Linked DNA regions of Astyanax mexicanus. The protein of the gene in region 1 interacts with the protein of each later gene in a pairwise test. Links are inferred from orthologs where the notes say so. Each region holds a gene or a part of one and is shown on either strand. Other genes may lie near its edges. The genes, in order: ppp1r12a and atxn10.

Evidence for each region.
Region 2: the proteins of ppp1r12a (region 1) and atxn10 interact in binary tests that used the Homo sapiens proteins (3 or more experiments, as listed by UniProt). The link is inferred for Astyanax mexicanus from reciprocal best matches to the Homo sapiens genes PPP1R12A and ATXN10.

What each region holds. Positions count from the first base shown.
Region 1 is NC_064409.1:25,004,317-25,012,055, forward strand, and holds the start of ppp1r12a (protein phosphatase 1 regulatory subunit 12A), read left to right. Parts: upstream 1-4,199; 5' UTR 4,200-4,632; coding exon 4,633-4,869; intron 4,870-7,739. UniProt on the Homo sapiens protein: Key regulator of protein phosphatase 1C (PPP1C). Mediates binding to myosin. As part of the PPP1C complex, involved in dephosphorylation of PLK1. Capable of inhibiting HIF1AN-dependent suppression of HIF1A activity.
Region 2 is NC_064409.1:12,214,210-12,222,088, reverse strand, and holds the start of atxn10 (ataxin-10), read right to left. Parts: upstream 3,302-7,879; 5' UTR 3,243-3,301; coding exon 3,130-3,242; intron 1,894-3,129; coding exon 1,702-1,893; intron 1,465-1,701; coding exon 1,379-1,464; intron 1-1,378. UniProt on the Homo sapiens protein: May play a role in the regulation of cytokinesis. May play a role in signaling by stimulating protein glycosylation. Induces neuritogenesis by activating the Ras-MAP kinase pathway and is necessary for the survival of cerebellar neurons.

The DNA.
Region 1 (7,739 bases):
GGGTGCTTATAATTATTTATGTATTTATTTTTTATTAGATTAAGATTTTTTTTCTTTGGCATTGTGCTCGAAAAATCAAGAAAGCTTGTATGTAGGTCAGGAATTTGATAGGGCCCCCAAACAGAGTGGTTGGGATCATGCTGGTCTCATCTTACTATACAAGGGTCACTTGGTTATATCTGACTACGCCCAACAGAAAGTTATCTATTTTTGCTGGAATATGTAACTTTAAAACATTCATGCAGGGTTTTGATAGGCTTGCAATGTTCGATAGCTCCTAAAACTTCACAGGTCTACTGGTCCAATGCTGCATTTTTATGTATGCCAACATGTCTCATCAGCTCTATAGTGCTACCTTTATACTGATTGTAGATTTCGCATATTGCAAAGATCACTTGGGCCATTTTTTGACATGTTCGTTGCTGCAGAACCACAAGTCCAGAGGGTGGGCTGGATCTGATTCAACTCAGATCGGACCCTTGTCCTAACCCTAATTTTACCCCTTGGACTTTTGTTGGATAAGATCCAGTACCACCCCATGTATTTGTTGTTCTGCAGCAAGAGGTATTGGCATTTGTGGTTCTTATATCACACAACCACAAAAGTTGATTTGGCCCGACTATGGTTTGAATTTAGGTTTGATTCTGGTGCAAATCATCTGCTCACATCTAGGCTACATGTGCCAACACCCCGGTGGCCGAGACTAACATGGCAACCGTATCAAGAAGCTTTTGCCAACTCTTTAGCTGCGAAATGATATTCTGCCTAATTCTGCATGGCCAGTACCACGTCTCAACCAATGCGAAGAAACATCCGTCAAGCTCTGAATAATGCTATCTGGGTTGACACCTCAGGAATATTGGAACCTCACAAAAATAGTTTTTACAATAGTTTTTGATTTCATGATGAATCATGTATGGAGGCCTTGCTGTGAGTACTTTAATCCTGCCTTTGCCTTCTGTGGAGCGACATACTTTCCAGACTGCTGGTGTGATGATATAAAGGAGCATCACATACGAAAGTAGGTCACCCCTAGTACCGATGCAAGGGGCAGTAACAGCTCAGCAATATGTGCAGAACATCCTGCGGCCACATGTGTTTGATATCATGTCAGAACTTCCAATTTGCATTTTTCAGCAGGATAATGCTCACCCACATACAACAAGGATTTCCCAGGAATGTCTCCACCAGATTTCAGCACTTCCTTATCCTGCCCAGTCTTTAGATTGATCAAACCTGGAGTGTAGAGCATGATCTACCGGTCCAGCTGCAACATCTGTAACATGGGTAAATGTGCTGTAGGATGCCATACTGAACCTGTACACTGTTGCATGCCTCCATGCTCAACTGTATCTCATCTTGTATCCAAGCTAGAGGTTCAACAGGGTACTAGAGCCTCCTTTCAATTACAGTACAGTTTTAATTAACTTATCATTTTACTCTAATATATATGTATAACTATTACAGAGTGTAAAATAACAAAACACATTTAAGCTTTTGAACCACTAAGATTTTCCACACTTCATACTGATACACCCCCCCCCCACACACACACAGAAACCATAAGCTTAGCCAAGTGCTGATTCATGTGCTGAGTTTGCTGAAACCCATTACTGTAAGTTTACTCTCTCTGGGTGAGCTGGAGGCCGATCCAGACTGATGGATGGACTTCAAGGAAAGTTCAGAAGAAATAAAATCCTCCATCTAAAAAAGGAGAAGATAATAGAGTTTGAAATTAGATAGAACATCCAGACAGACTGAAATATAACTGTTTTTCTACCACTCACCTTTAGAGCCTATCTAGAACCTTGTTGGTGGTTAATCTGATAGTCTTTAGTTCTACCAGATAAGTCCTGACAAATGGCAGAGCTGTTTAAGATGAATCTGCCCAGATACTAGGGGTTAGACAAAAATGTATAGCTTCATTTTGTTTGCAATACATTGATACGTGGTGTCAAATATGGATATTTGTATGGAAACATAGCTGCTCTGAACTCTGTAAGACGCGCCCCTAACTATACTTACTAAAGTTACTGCCTCATTATTACTTCATTACATGGTGATGATGCTAATAAAATGGCAAATCTGCAGTGAAGAAACTCTGTAAAACCGACACAAAAAAATCCATAATTCTTGGTATTTTCTCTTGTAGGAGTATTTTAACCTTATCAGTAACACAGATGCTGTGAAATTTCGTAGAAAATTGACTTAAAATATCTCACAAGTATCACAGAATAACAGTATGGTGATATTATTTTTGTGGGCAGCACATTGTTATAATATCTTATCGTGAGATTCCCTGTGATTCCCACACCTGGCAGATACCACTGAGAGATCCTGATAGGACTATTTTCAATTAATTTAACCCTATAGTTTCAAGCAGAACTGAACACTGTAGAAAACTAGTACTCTACTACTGATAGTAATTTATTACTACTAGTGTACACGCCAGTTTCTAACACACAGAAATGAAAATACCCTGACATGCAAAAAGTCATTGGACAGCAGTGTACAAACTGACATTTAATGCAGGAGACCATGCCCATACATCCTGCAGGTCAGTGCAGTGTTCTTTAGCTTCAGTGGGACAGGGCAAAATTCAAAAACACAATACTAGTTCTTATTTCATAACCTTTGGCATTTCTAGACCAACAGAGTGTAGTGTGGACATAAAACCTGAGCCAAAATCTGGCGCCAACACCAGCACCATGCTACCAATCCAAAATACACACTTCACCTGGACCATGCAGCCGGACCACCCACCTGTGGATCAGAGCAACAGATTTAAAACAGTTCCCAGAAGATCCTACTTAAAAATACCCCAGACATAACTAGTATTCTAGTATTTATATATGTTTATATATATGTTATATATTTATATATGTTTAGAAATAAATATAAAATAAATTTTACATCAATACATTTTTTTCAAAACGGTTTTCCCTTCTTCCTTCTTTTTTATTTTATTTTCTCTCCAATTTGAAAGTCAAATTACCACTCATTAGGACTCTCCCTATCATTAGTAATGCCCCCAACATTAGAAGTTTAGGGAAGAGCGCATGCCTCCTCTGATATCACCTATTGTACCCACCCATTGGGGGCATGACCTACTGTACTCTCTCAGATTCCGGCTGCTGACCCGGGTGAAATCAAAATAATCAAATTAAGTCTGTTGAACAAAAATTCTTTAAAAAAATGACATTATACATTTTAGGATTGTCCATTTGTGTCAAGCTCTTGTCTTGCCAAAAGAATCACAGCATTGACCCAAGCAATAGTGATAAGACCAAGATTTGTTTTTTTTTATATGTTTTTAACATTCCAAATTATATATAGTCAGGTGAGAAGTTGACATGTGTTTCCTTTTTATTTTCTTCAACACACTACTCTGTCATAAATTCAAGAACAAATATACAAGTAACACCACAAAAACATAGCCAGGGGAGATAAAAAGACATCGCAAAATAAAAACAACAAAAATTACAAATCACACAAAGATTCCAAAAATAGGGCACAGGTTTTAAGTTTAAAGAGTTTTCTAATTACAAAAGAAAGACAAAGAAATTAAATTAAATTCCACATTAAAAAAACACAGAATAGGAGTCTAAACTTTCATACATTACACCCATATGCCAAGAAAATAATTAGATTAGAAGTTGATTAAAATCCTATAAATATTTAGCCACAGTCTTCATCATGTGTGGTCACAGAACCAAAATATTAATTTAAAGAAAGGTGATTCCAGTTGTAAATCACAAAGTGTACAGTTAATATTTATATACTTAAATCTTGATTTAACAAGGTAAATGTGGTGAATAAGCTTTTAGGAAGCCTCTTTGACTTTGTTTAATAATTGTCCTGTTTTTCCTGATAGTGTCAAGTGAAGCAGGCGGTGACGTCACGCTGCAGCTCCGCGTGTGGGAGAAAAGAGAGAAGGGAGACGGATGGGGCGGGGCGGGTCTTGTGACGTAAGCGCGATCTCGGCCGCCTCCGAGCTTAGCTATCTGGAGCCAAATATCGCGAGATGTGGCTCTTTGCTCCACCCTCGCCCTCAACACCCCCCCCTCCTCTCCCACGCCCCGCTGCGCTGTGGGATCGTGGCTGAGAGAGAGAGAGAGAGAGAGAGAGAGAGAGAGAGAGAGAGAGAGAGAGAGAGAGAGAGAGAGAGAGAGAGAGAGAGAGAGAGAGATTCTGTGTATGTATAAGAGAGAGACAGACACATACAGTGAGAAATATTGGAGAAATAAATATTGGGGAAATACACTGAGAAATGAGAGAGAGATACAGTGAGAAAAAATAGAGACTTACTGAGTAAGAGACTTTAAGCGAGAGTCTAAGTGAGTGAGTGAGTGTGTGAGAAAGAGAGAGACACACACACAGACAGATTTACTGAGAGAGAGAGAGAGAGAGAGAGAGAGACACACATACACACAGACTTACTGAGAGAGCGAGAGACACACACAGACAGACTGAGAGAGAGAGAGAGAGAGAGAGAGAGAGAGAGAGAGAGAGAGAGTCTCTCACACACACACACACACACGCACGGTTAACCCGCGGGCTGAGGACTGGAGGATTGAGACTCACACGGAGGGAGAGCGCACCGGCTCCGGGGGGGGTTAGTGCTGTGTTGTGATGAAGATGGCCGACGCTAAGCAGAAGCGGAATGAGCAGCTGAAGCGCTGGCTAGGCTCGGAAACCGACCTGGAGCCGCCGGTTCTGAAGAAGAAGAAGACTAAGGTGAAGTTCGACGACGGCGCGGTGTTCCTGGCGGCCTGCTCCAGCGGGGACACCGAGGAGGTGCTGCGGCTGCTCGACCGCGGCGCGGACATCAACTACGCCAATGTGGACGGCCTGACCGCCCTGCACCAGGTCCCAGCCTCCTTCCTCCTCTCTACTGCGGGTTTTCTGTTTTCTATAGCTTTAACATTAGCGCCAGAGGCCTTCTGAATGCTTTTTACACACCCCAGAATCTGCCGGAGCACTTTTTAATTCGGATTTCTGCTCTAAAACCCGGTGTTTTTACACTACGTTAAGGCCAGAGCAAACTAACGTAACGCTAACCTAGCTAACGTTAACGAGCTAAAACTGAAGCTTGCGACAATTTAGTTGAACTAACGTTAGCTAGATCAGTTATTTTATCTGATTAATATATACCTAAGTAGAATTAAATCTGACTCATTGAGTTAAATAATCATAATAGTCAGCCTTAGCAAGGTCCACTACATAAGAGCTAGCTTTACTAGCTAGCTTAGGTGAGTCAACCAACTTGCCAAAAAATACTTGCTGTTGTAGTTTGCTCTTGTCTCAACGTTGAAGCTTGGACAGTTAACATTGACCTTATAAACTATCATTGTACATTTATTAGCAAATTCTTCTGAGAAAAAAAAACCCAAAACAAATAAACTTAAAAACCAGAGTTTATCCAGATGTGAGATCGCTTTAAATAATCATATCTGCAGCCACAACACTTCCATAATGTCTAAGTACAACTTTTATCAGCTCCTTTCCCTTTTCTAAATATTTTTTTACGTTAACACCAACCTTAAACTCATTCTGAATGCTTTTGTACAGACCCCAAAATCCGATGAAATACTTTCTAATACCTGTGCTTTTACACTACGTTAAGACCAGAGCTAACTAACCTAGCTAGCGTTAGCTAAAACTCAAGCTTGCCTTGAAGCTTTTGACAATTTACCTAGCGTTAGTTATCTAGTTAACTTTGCATTATATTAGTTATCTATATAACTATGTATCAGTTATTTGTTTTATAAACCAGTTACACCAGAAATATTCTGAATCTGAATCCTAGTTCTCGATTGTCAAAATTGTCTTACTTGATTAGCTAAAGCACATCACAGTTAACATTGCTTTGGTCTCAGCCTTGAGTTAACTCGTAGCTCACATTTATCAGCTAACTTACTTTCTCTGATAAACCAAATAAACCAGAGTCAGTCGAGATGCTCGGCTTTGGATTATAAACTTATTCATAAGTCTAACAAAATAAGACTTTCAGAATGCCTAAAAATCGTATTTAGCAGGTTAGTTAAATTAAACCTTGAATGTATTGTTTTTTCTGATCAACCAGATAAACAAAATAAACCACTGTCAACCCAGATGTGTGAATGATGTGTGATTATAATACTCATTAGCCAGATCCAAAACACACTCCAAATGCCTAAAATCATTGTTTAAACATTGAACCTTATCTAGCTAATAAACTTCCAACTAATATTTGTCAGAGCTCTTTTCTCTGTTACACCAACTAATCACCAATAATACAGAATTACCAACAATATTAGAATTGTGGACTCCTCTTAGATGGCTTTAAACTCCTGAAATGTCTAAACATTCTTTGACAGGGTGTTTACATTGAAGATTATAATCGGTGATATTTATCACCCCATTAATAGAAATAATCAAATTAGTGCAAATGTATATGATCAGTTATCACAATAAGCCCCAAAACAGTTTCATGAAACCTAAACATTCTTATGTTTGCAGTTTGCTCTGTCCTCCACATAAAACCTTGTAGGTTAGTTAGATAAAAGTTTGTAGGTTAGTTAATTTATACTTTATATATCAGCTCCTCTCTCTAATAAAGCAAATGAGTTAATCCAGAGTTTATAATATTCACATTCACATCCAGAAAACTGCAGCATTGCCTAAAATCCTTGTTTTTGCAGTGTGCCCTGGCCTTAGCTTTACCCTTTGCTTCATTAGTTAGCTAGCACTCCCTGCAAGGCGAAACAGAACGACACAATGACTAAAAACTAGCTCATTGTACTTATTTGCACGCTTCTAATGAATTAATTCGGTTTACAACAAACGAATTCGTTTATTTTTTTCTATAAAGGTGTTGTTGTGATCTGGAGTAATGTGAGATTAGCTAGTATTAACATTAGCTGTCTTTGCGTTGTAAGCTTGCATTTAACTAGTTTACAGTTAGCATGTATCAGATTTTTCTTTGGTTTATCAGATGGGGTAATTAACCTGAGATAATCAAAGTGTGAAAACGTTCCTGATCATAGTTCTTATTCCAATCGGACCAAGAGCACTCTCAGAAATGATTAAAAACTCTTGTTTTTTCAGTTCTGCTCTGGCGTTCACCTCAGACTTGTCCTAGCTTTACTGTTCGCTTCATTAGCGTCAGAGGTGGCTAGCGTTAGCGCACCCTGCTAGGCAAAACAGACCCCGAAAATGACCCAAACCTAGTGAATTGAACCGATTTTAATTACCACAATGAATGAATTCGTTGTATAACATACTAAAGTACTATTTTAAGTCTTCAAATGTCGATATAATTTGGGGCAAATGTCTGTTTTGTGCTGTTTTAAATCTAGCGCTAGCCTAGCAGGGTTGCTAGCTACGTTGGCAAGCTAACTGATACAAATCCCTCCAACATATAGCTAGCTAGTTAACTGTAATGCAGCTTGGTTTTGGCGTGGAAAAAAAACTCAAATTATGCTCCAATTTGTACTAATGGTTTATTGTATGGAATAACAAGATAATGGAAGTTAAATCATGCCTTAGGAATTGCTGATATCTTATTTGTACTCTGAAGCTGTATTAAATGTAGATTTCATAGATTTTTTTCACTTCGACTTATGATTGCATTTAGATAATATGCAGATAGGTAATTTTAGTATGAATTATTTATATAAGGATGGTCAGATTTTGTGTTGCTTGTATGTTTTGAGATATGAGCAACACTGTGCTTTAAATCCAGGGTGTGTTTCAGT
Region 2 (7,879 bases), about 13 Mb from region 1:
TTCACATTTAAACTAATACTGGTACCAGGCCCTAAAACCACCAGTCAGTCACTAAAGCATAATTTGAACACATTGTAATGTGTGTCTCTGATATGATGTGCTTCTAAATATATAGGAGTCAAAGCGGCAAGGACAGTGAAGCACTAACTCACAGACACAAAGTATCAGCCCAAAGCAAACACACAAGTTCAGTTTCACAGAAAGATGAAGCCTATTCTAAGACTTTATTTGCTTTTAAATGAAAATCTATAATTAAAATGCTGTGTAGTTCAAGACTAGGCTTAATCCCTGAGAAACTGCACCATTATGTGCAAAGAAAGACCACACTTGAGATCATTTAAGCCTACCACTGCACTGGCTGTGTGTTACACATGAACCTAATTTTGGCTGATTTTGATGTGATTTAGTACTTAATAGTACCAGTTTAATTAAAATCTCAATATTTTGTTTTGCATCACTGAATTAATATTTAAAACACGGAAATGACTGAAATGATTACTTACATTTAAAAACTGGTGACATTTTTTCCCTGCACTGTTTACACCACGATCGCTAGATAGCAGTGTTGTACTCTGTCCCACTGTCTAAATCCCACTGTTATAACTGCATAAAATTAGACTTTTCCTTTATTCAGATTTTGAAAATAAACTGTACAGTTTAAACAATTGCAACAACTGCATTTAAACAATTGCAATATCACATTGATTACAGTACTGCATTATATTGAATTGTAAGCCCAGTATCATAATAGTATTATATTGCCAAGTTCATGCCAATATGCAGTCCTACCATAAAGGTCCGATAAATCATTCCTAAAGGATTTTTGGAGTCCAAGATGGATTTTGATTGGCCTCTCTAACAAAACTATGAACAGTTTGTTTGGAAGGTTATCTTGGACCAGATCTCAGTTCGACCTCCATAATTTCTGTTAACTGCAATTTCTTTATTACATTTATGATCTGAGGAACTGACTAACTAAAAAGCTTTCCTATCCTCTTTAAGCCTTCTCCAGCTTTGTATGCATCAATTATTTAAATTCCTACACAGATGAGCCTATGGCTGCCGATTGTTGTAACAAGGTTTAAGGATAAAATGAGCAAAGATGCATTGGATATTTAGTCAGAAACATGCCTACACAGCATTTTGAATATAGATATAATCTGAAACCCACCCAGTGTGAATTTACTTTCTGCCACACTTTTTTGTACCTGTTACCTCATTTTTTTTAGAAAAAAAAAAAAAAAAACATGCACACTTGACATTGGACTGGACATGTTCCCTCAAATAAATTTACCGCCCTTGATCTAAACTCTGTGTGGTTCTTCACATTGACCAGAATTTGGCCCCTTTGATTTAAGCTTTAGGTAAAGAGACTTACCATCAAAAAGGTAATCTGAGACTCCAGAAGCAAGCTTGAGAAGCTTTCTCAAAATCTCTAATGATACCTGGATACAGCCTTGATCTCTACAGAAAAAGAGAAAAATATAGTAACTACATTGGACTGTATTGTTTTGAGATTGTAAATGACAATGTTTTTACCACAAAATGTGAACTGTACTCTTCAGAGAGTTAACCATCCAAACCAAACCATTTCCACACAAATGGTATAGGCACACTGTATGATAACAGGTTTTGCAGGCACAATATTACAATACTAACAATTTTATACAGACATAGTACCCAGCACCACCAGTAAGCTACCTTAAAAAACACTGGTTGCGGGAACACTGCACACAGGCATTTCGTTGAGCTCTGAAACATTCGGCCGTAAGCTGAAGACACAGCAAAGCGGACTGCTGTTCATCATTCACGTCACTTAAAACCTGAATCTCCTCTGAGAGCCTGGACAGCACTGCAGACAGTCTCTCAAGGACATCCACCTCGACATTGAATCTGTGAACACAAAACATTGGTTACGATTAGATTAGTAATCAGCCAGCAGCACAAGTCAGGATGGAGCAACAGATGAAGTGTTTGTGTGTTTAATATAATCTATGAGTAGCAATCTCTGTAATAGCAGACAACAAGGTACTCTGTACATGCAGGACTTTTTGAGAAAATAATAAGCAAAGCTTCTGGACATACATATTATGTGAACAAATAAAAAATAGTATTATAATGTTATATGCACCAATGTGTTAGCTTTCCTGAAGCTCATAATTACAAAAAGGCTGTGGCCAGACTATTTAAGTGAAAAATAACAAAAATTTTCATTATATTGTTTTAATACAGTTTGTTAAAAGGTAAAATGTAAGGCAAAAACATGTTACATTTGTTCCAAAAGTTATATTGGTGTGTCCAGTCTCTCTGTTAATTGTAAATGTGGATATCAGCACTGGTATACAGTATAAACACATGTAAATTAACTGAACTTTTTCCTATAACTTACAATGTCACATTAATTACATTATCAATGTATTGTACAATAAGTGTCCTCAATAATAATTGAAAATGCTTATAAAATCTATTTTTATATATGTTTCTATGTTTATTTGTGTGTTTGTTGACATATGTAAAAGTGAACAGTATCAAAGTCAGTCTAATGACAAATATTTCCATAAATGTGACTCCCTACACACAGAGTGGACTGTAGTAGATGGAGAAAAGAGTATATATTTCCCAAACTATGATTAATTACAAATTAAGTTGTCTTTTTAAAGGGTTTTATTGCTTTTTAATGCTATTATATTATCATTATGTTAGTGGCATTTATTGGTCTTAAAATGACAATTTCTGGAACGGCATATTATATTTTATATTAAAAAAATGATTGTGACACACCTAAACGTAGACCTAAACTCTAGCTAAATTATAATTTATTTCTTGTGTATCAATCATTTGAGTAGAAAACCTAGCTACTTACAAACTTGTTAGGTAACCAACTCTCTAATTGAGGTTAACTTTAATTAAATAACTTTTTTTTAATCTTTAGCAAAACGAAGTTATAAACTACTAAACTATATTACGGTTTATTAATGACCAAATATTACTTATTTTCATTGTAATTAGGTTTTAATACAGTTTGTTGTGAGAGTGTGTGGAGTAGCCTGTCACAGCCTCAGCAGCAGCTAGTTAATGTTAGCTAACCGCTAGCAGCACCGCGGTACTGCGTGTTCGCTCTGCCCGAACCTGAGCTCTTCATCTCGGAAATTGTTGGTCGCGGCCTGCAGGACAGCGAGGAGCTGCAGATTTAACCTGTCTGCAAGTAAATCCTCCAGGTTCACAGACTTCAGGCTCCACATGCTTTCTGTCACACAGCCACAGGGACTGCGAGCCGCTACAACAACCCCAGCAGCAACACAGAGAGAGAGAAAATCCACATATCAAAATAAAAGTCCACTAAAATAAGTTATTAACTGTATGTGGACCGTTTCCCCGAACTGACACATGAGATACATGTTAAAAAGTAAACGTTTTTTATGAAATCTTTATCCACACCTAAGACTACACAGGCTACACAGGTCTCATAAAGCAATTTTTCCTACTGTATAATTGTACATTTTTTAGAAATTGTTTACTTTCACAGTCACTGAAAAATCATTAATATAGATAATTAACGTATACTAATAATCAACTTAATTGAGTTTTGCACATCTATATGTTTCTGTTGTGAGCAGAGTAAATAGCTTACGATTGTTTTTTGTTCTTATTTTCTCAGTCATATTTGAAATTATTTAGATGATTTAAAAATAACAAATGTTAAAAATGAATTATTAAATGCTGCAACTGTTGGGACATTAGTGTTAAAGTTGATTATATTAATTCATTTCATATTAATTAGTTTTGTTTCCACACCTCACAGATATTAAATTCTACAAGGTCTTCACTACTAGATGAATTTAAAATGAAGTGTGAATTAAGTGTTGGGATAACAATTATGCCATGCTCAAAATTATTTATATATTTTTTTTATTTAAATATAAAAAATATATGAGTAATTAAATGTAGTTAAATTAATTAAGTTGAATTTACTACAACTGTACAAGTAGTTCTGCTGTTACATCAGTATTACTCCATGACATCACATTCTCAGCCTACTACTTTAAGGACGACATCACCACCACCACCATTAGAAACCAGGCCATCTGACATTCATTCATCTGAATCAACTGTTCCCAAGGCTTTGAGATCAATGGCTTCATTTTTTCCCCAAACAAGTTGCGGAGACAAGTGTTCCAGCTGCAACAACAAAGGCCAGTGTTCTCTTTTGAATTTTCATGAGTGCTGGACTATTTTTGATCCCTGGCTCCCTGGTCTGTGGTCCATCTCATGTTTTCTCTGGTCTAGGAAATGCAGCAGAGGAAGTTGGTTGAGGCTGAAGAATATAATTACAGGTGGCTGCGTATCAGGCAGCTATCCTCTGGCTAGGGTGGGCCCACAGCTAATACACAGATGGTGTACTGTAGCAACCAAGCCCTAAGATAGACTCACTAATCATTTGAGAAGGAGGCAAACTGAAAGCATCTACTTAATGGCTTATGCACAAGCTGAAAATATTCTGCTCTTGGGCAGAGGGAAGGAATGTGTAGTAAATCGATGATTACTGGAAGAAATAAGTTTGTAAACACTAAGGGACCAAAGTCTGAAGGAGAAAATCCATCCTAATAAGTATTACCCCAAATCAGAAAAGGCTGGGACAGCCATTGGAAATTACATAACGTCAGGCCTGGGACAGTAAAGCAAGAGTGCTGAAGTGTGGGACTGTCACTATCATGTTTTTTAATTTTTAAATTCTGCAGTCAGAACGGCAGACAGGCCAATAATGGTATCAATAATGGTTCTTCCAGTCATGACTTTGTTATGTGTGCAGCATGTAGTTGCCATGGTCTTGTGAAAACATACATGGACATCTCTGGAAGATGTATTTTTCTACATTAGTGCAGCATCATAGATGTGTACTGACACACCCCCATATCATGACAGATACTGGACTTTGGACTTAATGTTACTTTTACCAGTCTGGAGCACACAGCATGCATTTCTTCCAAAAAATACCTGGAACACTGATTCATCTGTCACCAATAGACATTTCCACTGTATGATAGTGGTCAGTTGTTGTATTGCATTTGTTAATTGCACAAAATAATCTGATCTATCTGACCCACAGATGTGTTTGAATGACAATCAAATTGAATCAGTGAGGTCAGAGACTTACACCCTGAAGGCCCATTAGCTCAGTCATCTGCCATGTGATGTAATTACACATCAACTCAAACAGTGAGACAAAAGCTGCAAAGGTCATCTTACTCTAACAATGTTCTGCAGGCCCCGAGACACACAGAGCAGCTGATAGGTGTTACTCTCTTAAGAGCCAAACACTCTTATTTGACATGGGGGATCTCTGCCTCCTTTCTAGAAAAATCACATCTGGCTTTTGTCTCCGTTGTTCCCAGCATTCTCCAACCTAAACTCTCCCTAATCACTCTTGCATCTGACCCCGATTCACTGGGGGGAAACTGGAGTGTGACTGGGTGCCAGAGGATTTTTCTAAGAAGCCCTATTGTAGCAAAGGAGCGATTGCTAAGGAACAAATATCCCAGTGTTTATATTCCCTGTCAGCGCTCCTTTTCTTAGAGGAACACTTGTGACATTTGAGCTCACACGTCGCCAAATTGCAATCAGACTGCCACTAGAAATGTCTGTCTCTTCAACAAACTCTCCATTTGCCTTACAAATGGTATTAGGTGGAGAGAAGCACCCAGTTAATGTGACGTGTTTTCAACCAGGGAGATCTATTCAGGGCTGTCTACATAGTAACACACAACAAAAGTATTCCTAAATTTACTGGCCAAAATCTCTGGAACTTTAATAGCTGAGTGAGAAGTTAACAGATTTGCCTGTGTTTTACTGTTTTCCCAGAGGTCCACTTACAACAGATTTATGCAACAACAGCAGTAAGAATTCATGTATACTACAAAACCATTAACACAAACACTCTGTAACCGCTAGAACTAAACAGGCAATTTAAAATACTGTGCCTTTAACAATGAGTGTATTTACATGCACTCAAAAATGATTACTGCATTTATCTGATGATTGGTCATGTAAACAACATACTATGATTTTTAAAAATCAGAAAAAGGTCTAAAAAGTTAAAAAATCTGATTATATCTGTATAATATTTAGTCTGTGCCTGAGTTAAAACAGACTGAAAACATGCAGACTGAAAAATTGCAAACCCAAAGCCCAAAACACTAAAAAACACTGAAAGATTTAAATAATCTTCATCTTCTAGCTGTTGTTTGTTAATTTTACTGCTTAATATGTTAGAAATGTTGTAACACTTTACAAAAAGGGTCAAACAGTACTTAAAACAGTAATAACCATCGTTAAATGGTTTAGTAATGCCTCAACAAATTATTGTTATAACATTATTAAACATTTTTATTTTGATGATTAATAATGTTGTAAATAATAATGATTTACAGCAAAACTTGCTTAAAGAAATACTTTTGCAAGTAAACCTTTCTGCTTTCTTACATAATTCCAGACACATTTGGTGTCCAAAATATGTTTCTCTAGTTTAGTGCTGGAGCCATGATGCTAATATTAACCAAACACTTAAACAGTCATTAACATTTTGCCAGGCTTCTCTTAACCCACTAAAACCACATTCAGTTGTTCAATAAGGAACACTGGGTACTGCCATTTTGGAAAGTGCTACATAGTAATATTTTCTTTATTTGGCTGTCCTCAATGCTCCTTTATAAAGACCTGGACACAGTTTGAGGGAAGCATGCACAAAATATGGGTGACTGTTGGATTTTAGTGTTTGTTAATTACTGGTGAGCTATTATATGTTCATACTTATAGTTTACAGTTAATCATGCTGTCAGCTAAACTAGACTGACAAGTCTGTGTGATCCAGGCATGGTTTGTGAGAGTTAACAGAATAGGTTGTTAGCTACAGTAGCCTTGTAGCTCCAGTGGAAAAGCTTTATCAAAAATATATTAATCATATATCAGCATATGTAATTGAACATATTGTGTGGAAATTATTAATCCACTTGGCCTTATATAGATATAAGCTGAATAATCAGGATGCATTAAGTGATCAGAGTGTATGTGAAACTATGACCTATTCACTAAATGTGCACTACCCCTGGGATTTTCTGTTGTGGTATCCAAAAACGCATAATTTTTAGTGCAATAAAACAATCCTATAATTTTACAAATAATGCACCCCATCAGCTCCAAGATACCAATATACCTTTAAATGTATTGTTTTAAAGATCCATGTGCAGCCTTGTTTAGGAAGACCAACATTTAGACTGTTTGTGAGATGCAATCACACATTATGACGTTTACTAAAATAGTAAAAATCTTATTACAGCACACGGGTCAGATGTAAAGAATACTGGATGTAAATGGGCTCTTTATAACTCCACTATTGTAAATACATATTACACTATTATTTCACCCACATAAACAGCTGTACACATGCATTTGTTCACAAGCTAAAGGATACAGAAGTGAAAAAAAAAACTGACAATGAAGCATAATATAATTTAATATAGAATTTGACACAAATACGTCTCAACATAGTTTTAGGTTATATAGGCCAATTTTCCCAAAAATTGTCAGTGCACCCTCCGGTGTGACTTATGTTATATGATCTTTACCAGTCAGGTTGTAAGAAGCAGTAAAGCCACTTCGCTGGAGTACAGCTTTGTACTGGAGTTTCAGTTACGTTTTCCAGCATCAGGACTGGAGCAGTATTAGCATTAGCTGCTAAGCACGCTAAACGCTAGCTCTTTCGTGGTTCAGAGGTGAGTATATCGGACTGTAGTCTGCGTGTTTACCGTGTCAAAACAAGCTATGTGGTAGAAACCTCTAGTTAATGTCGCCCTGGCTTACCAGAACACTCAGGGTTTCTCAT